Linked DNA regions of Ovis aries. The protein of the gene in region 1 binds, or shares a complex with, the protein of each later gene. Links are inferred from orthologs where the notes say so. Each region holds a gene or a part of one and is shown on either strand. Other genes may lie near its edges.

Evidence for each region.
Region 2: SPAG5 (region 1) and KNSTRN share a complex: the UniProt entries of both Homo sapiens proteins name them as parts of the astrin (SPAG5)-kinastrin (SKAP) complex. The link is inferred for Ovis aries from reciprocal best matches to the Homo sapiens genes SPAG5 and KNSTRN.

What each region holds. Positions count from the first base shown.
Region 1 is NC_056064.1:19,981,592-19,985,405, reverse strand, and holds part of SPAG5 (sperm-associated antigen 5), read left to right. Parts: intron 1-29; coding exon 30-168; intron 169-2,875; coding exon 2,876-2,987; intron 2,988-3,153; coding exon 3,154-3,240; intron 3,241-3,503; coding exon 3,504-3,624; intron 3,625-3,742; coding exon 3,743-3,814. UniProt on the Homo sapiens protein: Essential component of the mitotic spindle required for normal chromosome segregation and progression into anaphase. Required for chromosome alignment, normal timing of sister chromatid segregation, and maintenance of spindle pole architecture.
Region 2 is NC_056060.1:34,208,880-34,212,693, forward strand, and holds part of KNSTRN (small kinetochore-associated protein), read left to right. Parts: intron 1-753; coding exon 754-883; intron 884-1,535; coding exon 1,536-1,580; intron 1,581-2,418; coding exon 2,419-2,524; intron 2,525-2,694; coding exon 2,695-2,788; intron 2,789-3,814. UniProt on the Homo sapiens protein: Essential component of the mitotic spindle required for faithful chromosome segregation and progression into anaphase.

The DNA.
Region 1 (3,814 bases):
TAAAATTCCTTATATCCTTCCTATTTCAGGGTTAAACTAGCCAGCATCGTAGCAGAAACACAGCAGCAAGACCTGGAGAAGATGTGCCAGTATTCCCAAGAGCTGGGGGTGCTGACGGAGCAACTCCATAGCCTGACCCTCTTCCTACAGACGAAACTAAAGGAGAAGGTGGGATACGGGGTTTCCTTCTCTTCCCTTACAGTCATATCTTCAAATAAAGACAGTTTTATTTCTTCCTTCCCTGTCTGTAAACCTTTTATTCCCTTTCTTACTGCATTAGCTAGAACTTCCCCCACAACGCTGAAAAGGATTCAAGTTGAGGAAGTTCCCCTCTAATCTTGGTTTACTGAGGGTTTTTCCAATTGTATCTTTATTGTATAGAATGGTCTTCCTAAAATACTGTTCCATTTCTGTGACCTTCAGTGACTTTCAGTTGCCTACAGGATATCTTCAGCCTGTTGTCTGTCTCCTTCTTTCCTATTATGAGCTCTTTACTCCCACTAGACTGCCTACACACTACACACACATCTCATTTCCATTCTTACCTGGATGCAGGCTGTTACCATGTTCATTCTCCTCTGTCTTCAAACTGGAAATGTCTTTTCCTTCCTATTAAAATCCTCTCTGGTTCACTTTCTTTGAAATGTTCCCAAACATCAGTGGACTCAGTGATCTCCTGCTGTATTTCTCATGAGCTTACTCTCCTTTTGCACTTGTATTAATTTTCCTTGGATGTTTGGTCTTTCTGCTAGACTGTGTTTATAGCAAGCAGAAGTTTAGCATTGCTTCTTTGGCTTCCCCACAGTGCACACTGCAGAGTAAATGGTGGATATCTTTCAGACTGCAGAGTTAATTAGCTTATTCAACAGTTAAGGGCAGAGCCAGAATCCTGAAATCAAATTGCTTATGAGCTGACCCCATTCCCCAGCGTGTGATAAGCACAGAAATCTAGTCTTGGGAAGACAGACAGATATAAATATGTCATTTTGACTTGTGATTGTGATAGAAGGTTGTATGGCCACAGAGAAAGGAGCATCAGCTTTAGTTTTGAGAGTTAGGATGTCGTCTCAGAGCAGGTGATTCTTGGGCAGAGTCTTGAGGTTAGAAGTTTGTAGAGCAGGGGTGGGTATACAGGAAGGCCCACCAGGCAGAAGGAACAGCATATGAAAGTCATAGAGGCATTAGGGGTACTTTTTGTAGTGTCTACCCTGTGACAAGGCCTGGGTCAGGTGCTGGGCTAACCAGGTGAACAAGGCCAAGGCTCTGCTCATATGGAATGTGGTGAGTTTGGGGCCTGGGAAGTAGCCCTTTATAAGTGGATTATAGAAGCTATGTGGGGCAGGGATGACAAGGGGAAGAGGCTGGAGAAGTAGGCAGGAGGCCAGATTTTTGAAGACTTGAACTAATAGCGATTATAGAAGGGATATGGAGGAGGGGATGGATTGAATGAATTCAATACATATTTAGGAAGTAAAGGTAATAGAGGGCTTCTCTGGTGGCTCAGCAGTAAAGAATCTGCTTACAATGCAGGAGATGTGGGTTAGATCTTGGGTTGGGAAGATCCCCTGGAGAAGGAAATAGGCAACCCACTCCTGTATTCTTACCTGGGAAATCCCATGGACAGTGGAGCCAGGAGGGCTACAGTCTGTGGGGTCATAAAAGAGTCGGACATGACTTAGTGATTACATAACAACAGAAGGTAATAGAATATGGTGACCAGTTTGATATAGGAGTAAGGTGAAAGAGTGACTGATGATCTTTTTTGCTGGAAAGATGGCAACACTCTATAGAACTGAGATTGGCAGACTTTTCCTGTAATGTGCAATGTGATAAATATTTTCAGTTTTGCGAGGTATGTGATCTCTGTCTCAGCTACTCAACTCTGCCTTTGTAGCTCAGAAGCAGCCATAGAGAGTATGTAAATACATGGATGTGGCAATGTTTCAATAAAACTTTATTTACAAAGACAGGTGGCAGGCCAGATTGAAACCACAGGCTGTAATTTGCTGCCTCCCTGCTCTAGGATCTTAAATACAAGTGGGGTGGGGCAGGAAAAATGGTTAGCTCAGCTTTATACATAGTAAATTTCAGGTGAACCGTGGAGCAATCTGGTAGATTTTTCACAGGCAGTTGAGCCTTTGGACCAGGAGATTGGGGAAAAGTCCAGTTGTAGAGAGACAGATTGAAGGGTCATCAGTGTAGAAGTGGATGCTTCTGTGGAGCTCCTGAGGTGAAGCCATGTGGGGAATGAATTAGAGTGTAAAGGGGATCAAGTATGAACCAGAAGGAGCCCACAGTTAAAGATAGACCTCCGCACAGAGAGAAGAAATAGCCAGAAAGGTATGAGTCCTACCTGTGAAGCAAAGTTATGTCACAAAAGCTAAGAAAATGAAATTTCCAATAGAACATGGTCATTGGTTATTACATAGGTCAGGTGAAATAAGATCTGAAAGGAGTCCACTGCATTTGAAAGTAAGGCTGCCCTTGGAGCACAAAATAATGAGGATGCCTTTGGTGTTCCAACAATGGTGGAATGGTGGGCAGAATCCTGTGTGTAGTGGCCCAGGGATTCCATAGATGGTGAGAATTTAAGGCAAGAAATGTAATCTTTTCTTTCTTTTATTTAAATTGAAGGGAAAGAGAAAAGGCAGTAGCTGAAAGGGTACTTAAGGTAAAAAGAAGGCTTTTTAAAAAAAAATTACTGTTCTAGTGAGAGAGAATTAAGTTCAGGGAGAGGAACTAATGGAAAAGTTGAAGATAGAGAAGAGAGGTGATAGAACAGCATTCCCACGGAGATGGCTAGTGAGTACCTGTAAGTTCAGGGAACTCAACTAACCCTGAAAAGCAGCTGACATTTTTTCTCCTTTGCCCTCAGGCTGAACCAGAGACCCTCCCGATAAGCACAGCCAGTGCTCTTTCCCAGGAACACCCTCCGCCCAGTGACAGCACCTTCTTGGGAAGTGCCCAGACAGCAGAGGCAGATGAAGGTTAAAGGCCCTGGAATTGAAGGGTGGGAAAGTTGGGACCCTGCTCCTGGTATCTTCAGCTGTTGAAGATGCTGCCAACAGACCCCTTCTCTCCCGGCTTCTGTGGTGGCAGATCCTTGACGGGGCCACCAGAGGGGCCCTCTGCCACAGTTGTTTTTTGTTTCAGACCCAGAATCCACTCCTGTGCCCTTGCTTGGAAGTGACAAGAGTGCTTTCACCAGAGTAGCATCAACAGTTTCCCTTGAGCCTACAGGTTAGGATGGGCTCCAGGGATCCTGCCTCATTTCTAGATCTGGTTGTGATGATAAAGGCTAAAGCAGTGAGAAGTGCTTTGCTCTAAAAACCTCAATTCAATTTGGGCTTATTTCAGTTCTGCCTTTGGGGGATCGGTAATGTTCCAGATATTCAAATCCTATGGGTGGGGAACATGGATAAGAGTGGAAGAAGTGATGGCTATGTACTCCTTCCTTCTGGAGCTAAAGGGCTTTGCCTCTTATCTAGTACTTTCTCTTTCAGAAAGCCCAGACATTGAGAAGAGCCTGGCAGAAATGGGTACTAAGACTCTGGAACTTCAGAGCCTGTGTTCCTTGTTGCAGGAGTCTAAAGAAGAGGCTGTCAGGACTCTGCAGCAAAAGATGTAAGTGGAGTGCAGTCTTAGTGAGAGAGGGCAGGTCATGTGAGCAGCCCCTTAATGTCAAGGGCCCAGCCAGCTCCTGGTGGGGGCAGGAATAATACTGAATTTTTCCCTCCCTTAGATGTGATCTGCAGGCTCAGCTGCAGGCCCAGGAAGAACAGCATCAGGAAGCCCAGAAGGCAAAGGAAGCGGA
Region 2 (3,814 bases), on another chromosome or scaffold:
AGGCCAGCATGGAAGAGGGAAGACGACGAAAGAAGCTACTTTAGAGATGGTCTTTGAAACTGACATGTTCCGTTTAGGCAGTAAGCAGGTTTTGAATTTTTGCTAATATGCCAGATACTCTCCTAGATGCTGAGGTACAAAGACATCTGCAAAGCAGGAGGCCCCAGCCTCCGGAATCTAATGCCTGATGATCTGAGGTGGAGCTGATGTAATAATCATAGAAATAGAGTGCATGATAAATGTAATTAATGTACTTGAAGCATTCTGAAACCATCCCCACCCCACCCCTGGTCTGAGGAAAAATTGTCTTCCAGGAAACTGGTCCCTGGTGCCAAAAAGTTTGGGGACCACTGTCTTAGAGAACTAGTTAGTGAGCCAGTCTGGTCAAAACAACTAAGCAACAGCTGAAGCTTGAAACAGCTTGCATGTAGCTTAGGGGAGCAGGCAAAGTGCTTAAGAGCAGAATGAGATAGTTCCATTGAATTGCTGTATGAGGCAGGGTTCAGCTGTGTTTTGCCTTGCTGGCAGCCACACTGCCTCTTGTGATCTTTGCTTATATGAATCTCCACCCTCTGGCCATTCGGTTTGCTATATCGTCAAACTTCTGGCCACCCTCAAACACTGCACTGTCACATTTAAAGAATTTTGGTTTCTATTCCCAGTTGGTCTACAAGTCTTATTCTTCAGGATTTATAGAATTGGCAGCTGTTGGTCATGATATGTGAGGTTTCACCCGTTTGTTTTCCTTTGCAGATGCACAAACTCGAGCCACTTTTAAGAGCCAGTTACCTGTTAAGTCCAAAGAAGTTGATGTTTCCAGACCTCATTCAGGAGCTTCAGAGACTGATGTTACAAAAATCATCAAACCGAGACGAGAGAATGGGTGAGTCAGAACATCAGTATCCAAATAGAACTTCCTGTTAGAAATTGCTCAGTACCAAGAATTAGGGTTTTGCAGAGCACAAGGTGTCTGATGGATTGGCCTGTAGTCAGTGGCCCAGAGCATCACAGCATTGCTGAGCTGTTTTTCAGAACCCTCGGTATTGATAGCTCAGAAGAGGTGCAGCCAGGGTTATAATAGGTACTTTCTTCCTCTCTCAGCATTTGCTTTGCATGTGCAAATAGCAGCACTGCAGCCAAACCCCAGCCCTAAGTGGTAGTCGTGGCAGGTGGGTGCTAGTTGTGAGCCTGAGTTGCTAGTGTGAGCACAGGCCAGCCTGGCATAGTGTGTGTATCTTTCCCGAAGTGCTCAGCTCCCACTGAGTCAGATTGACATGAGGTAGCCACACCATTCTGAGCAGGAGCAGGTCTCTCAGGCTGTCAAACCGGTCAGGAAGGGAGCCCATTCCCTATTCATAAGCCTTTTTCAATAGTCTGGGCAGAAACAAAAGTGTGTGGTGCAGTTGAGATATAGTTGACATATAACATTGTGTTAGTTTCAGGTATACAACATAGTGATTTGATATTTGTGTATACTGTGAAATGATCACCACAGTAAGGCTAGTTAACATCCTGATTTGTTTTTGCTTCTCTAGGCAGCTGAAGGCTACAGACACCTCCAGGAGGAACCTCAGGAAGAGGTGAGCAGCAGGGTAAAGAAAACTTGGCCACCACTTTAGGGTAGTGGGCCTTAATACAGAGTAGGGCTCTGGTTGTACCTCAGAATCACTCATGGGACTTGTTTTACCATGTTGGAGTCTGGTGCCACCTCAGAAATTGGAATGGAGTTTTCAGGGGTGAGACACAGCCAGGCCTAAGACCCAATGTCAGGGCAAGAGTCGGTGATATGACAATCTTGAGCAACAGACAGGAGTTTGGGGGCTCCACGCCAGGACCACTGCTTAAACCCAGTGATAGCCCTTTAACAAGGGCAGGAAGCCTCAGGATGGGAGAAGCTGCATGTGTTAGTGATTTCAAAATGAGTATTCTACTGCTGGTGGTAAAATCTTGGAGAAAACTGCATCTTTCTATGCTTGAGGCTTGCTTGGCCATTTCAGTCCCGAAGGCAGAAATAATATAAGCTAGAAAGTTTGTAGAAATAGGTTGTAATTCCACATCTATTATTGAGCATGTCTTAAAAGTTCTAAAGACAAAATACTATTAAGACAGACTCAGAGAACTTTAAAAAGATTCAGTATTGATGATGATAATGGCGATTACTGACTAAAGTTTACTATGGGTCAGTAGCTCTGTCACAATTTGCATGTATATTCTCCTTTATCCTTCACAATAATAATAATATGAGGTGAGGGTATTAATTCTACAAATGAGGAAACAACCTGAGAGGCTACAGAGCTCCCTGAAGGTCGTATTCCACTATGTGATGAGGCCAGGATTTGAACCAGCCTGTTTGTGTAACTCCATAGCCCATACTCGTAACCCCTCCACCTCTTTATCTAAGTACAATTGTCATTACAGCTACAAACCATTGAGTAAACAGAAATCAGAAGAAGAGCTCAAGGATAAGAACCAGCTCTTAGAGGCTGTCAACAAGCAGTTGCACCAGAAATTGATTGAAACTCAGGTAAGAGACCCACCAGACCTCTGCCATCAGCTGCCCTGGTGAAGCACGTGGACTCCTGAGGGACCACACCAGGTGGTCCTGAGAGCAGCCAGAAAAGCCACTGGGCTTGTGCTGTGGCTGTTTGCAAGGAATGGGATGGGCCTGCCCTGTCTGCATGTTCACCCCAACAGGGAGAGCTGAAGGACCTGACTCAAAAAGTAGAGCTGCTGGAGAAGTTTCAGGACAACTGTTTGGCAATTTTAGAAAGCAAAGGCCTCAACCCAGGTAGGAACTGCCTTCAGAGGAGTCAGTGCCTGTGCCCTTTCCTGAGTGGTTCTGGGCTGTGTGGCAGGAGTTCAGCATGGTGTCAAGCCAACCTGGGCAGGGCAGGGGTTGCCTAGTAAAGCCCTGAAGATTTCAGGGAGCGCCTCTCTAGTCTCGGGTGATGTTGACTCTTCCTGCCCAAAAGTATTTCCGGTGTTGTGGAGAGAGGGTTATCTCTTTCTTACCTGAACACTTTATGCCATTCTTTTGATGCTGATCTTGCAAATAGATCAGAAATATCTTCTTTATTTCGAGGGATATGGCACACAAGGAATCTTCATGGGTGGAGAGAGAGAGAGGATACTGTTGAAAAGGTTCTGAAGCTGGCTAGTAATCTCTGAGTCATGATGTGATTCTTGTTCTTACCCTGTCCCTAGAGGGCTGCTGCTGCTGCTAAGCCACTTCAGTCGTGTCCAACTCTGTGCGACCCCATAGACAGCAGCCCATCAGGCTCCCCTGTCCCTGGGATTCTGGGCAGTCTGTAACAGAGGAAACAGTGGAAGGGATTACCCAGAGACTGTCAGAGAGCCTGAGTTGAGGAACTTGAGGATGCCCAGGGAAGGAGCCCCGGCTTCTTTGAATTAGAGTACTGATTTTGAATGCTGCCATTAAAATAGTGCATTTTAGGATATATTCGTTATAGTCACCACACACGTTTTTGCGTGATTTTAATTGCCTATGTGTATGCATTGTTTTTACAATAAAAATGTTGAAGGCCTATAGAGATTTTATAAATAGTTTTATGTACTGTAAACAGACCTAAAACCTATACATTTCTTTTGGACAAATTTTCTGCTGAGCTGAGGAGAAAGTTTTGGCCATATCCATACCTGGAGAGGAAGGAGAAGTAAAATCCAGCTCTGGAGAGCAGGCATGGGGGACCCTGCCAAGGTGAAAGCTCAGGAGAAAGTGTCCAGGCCCAGACCCTCAGAGAAGTTTCCCTCATGAATACTCCTGTGGAGGGCTTTTTATTTTAAGTTGTAGTTC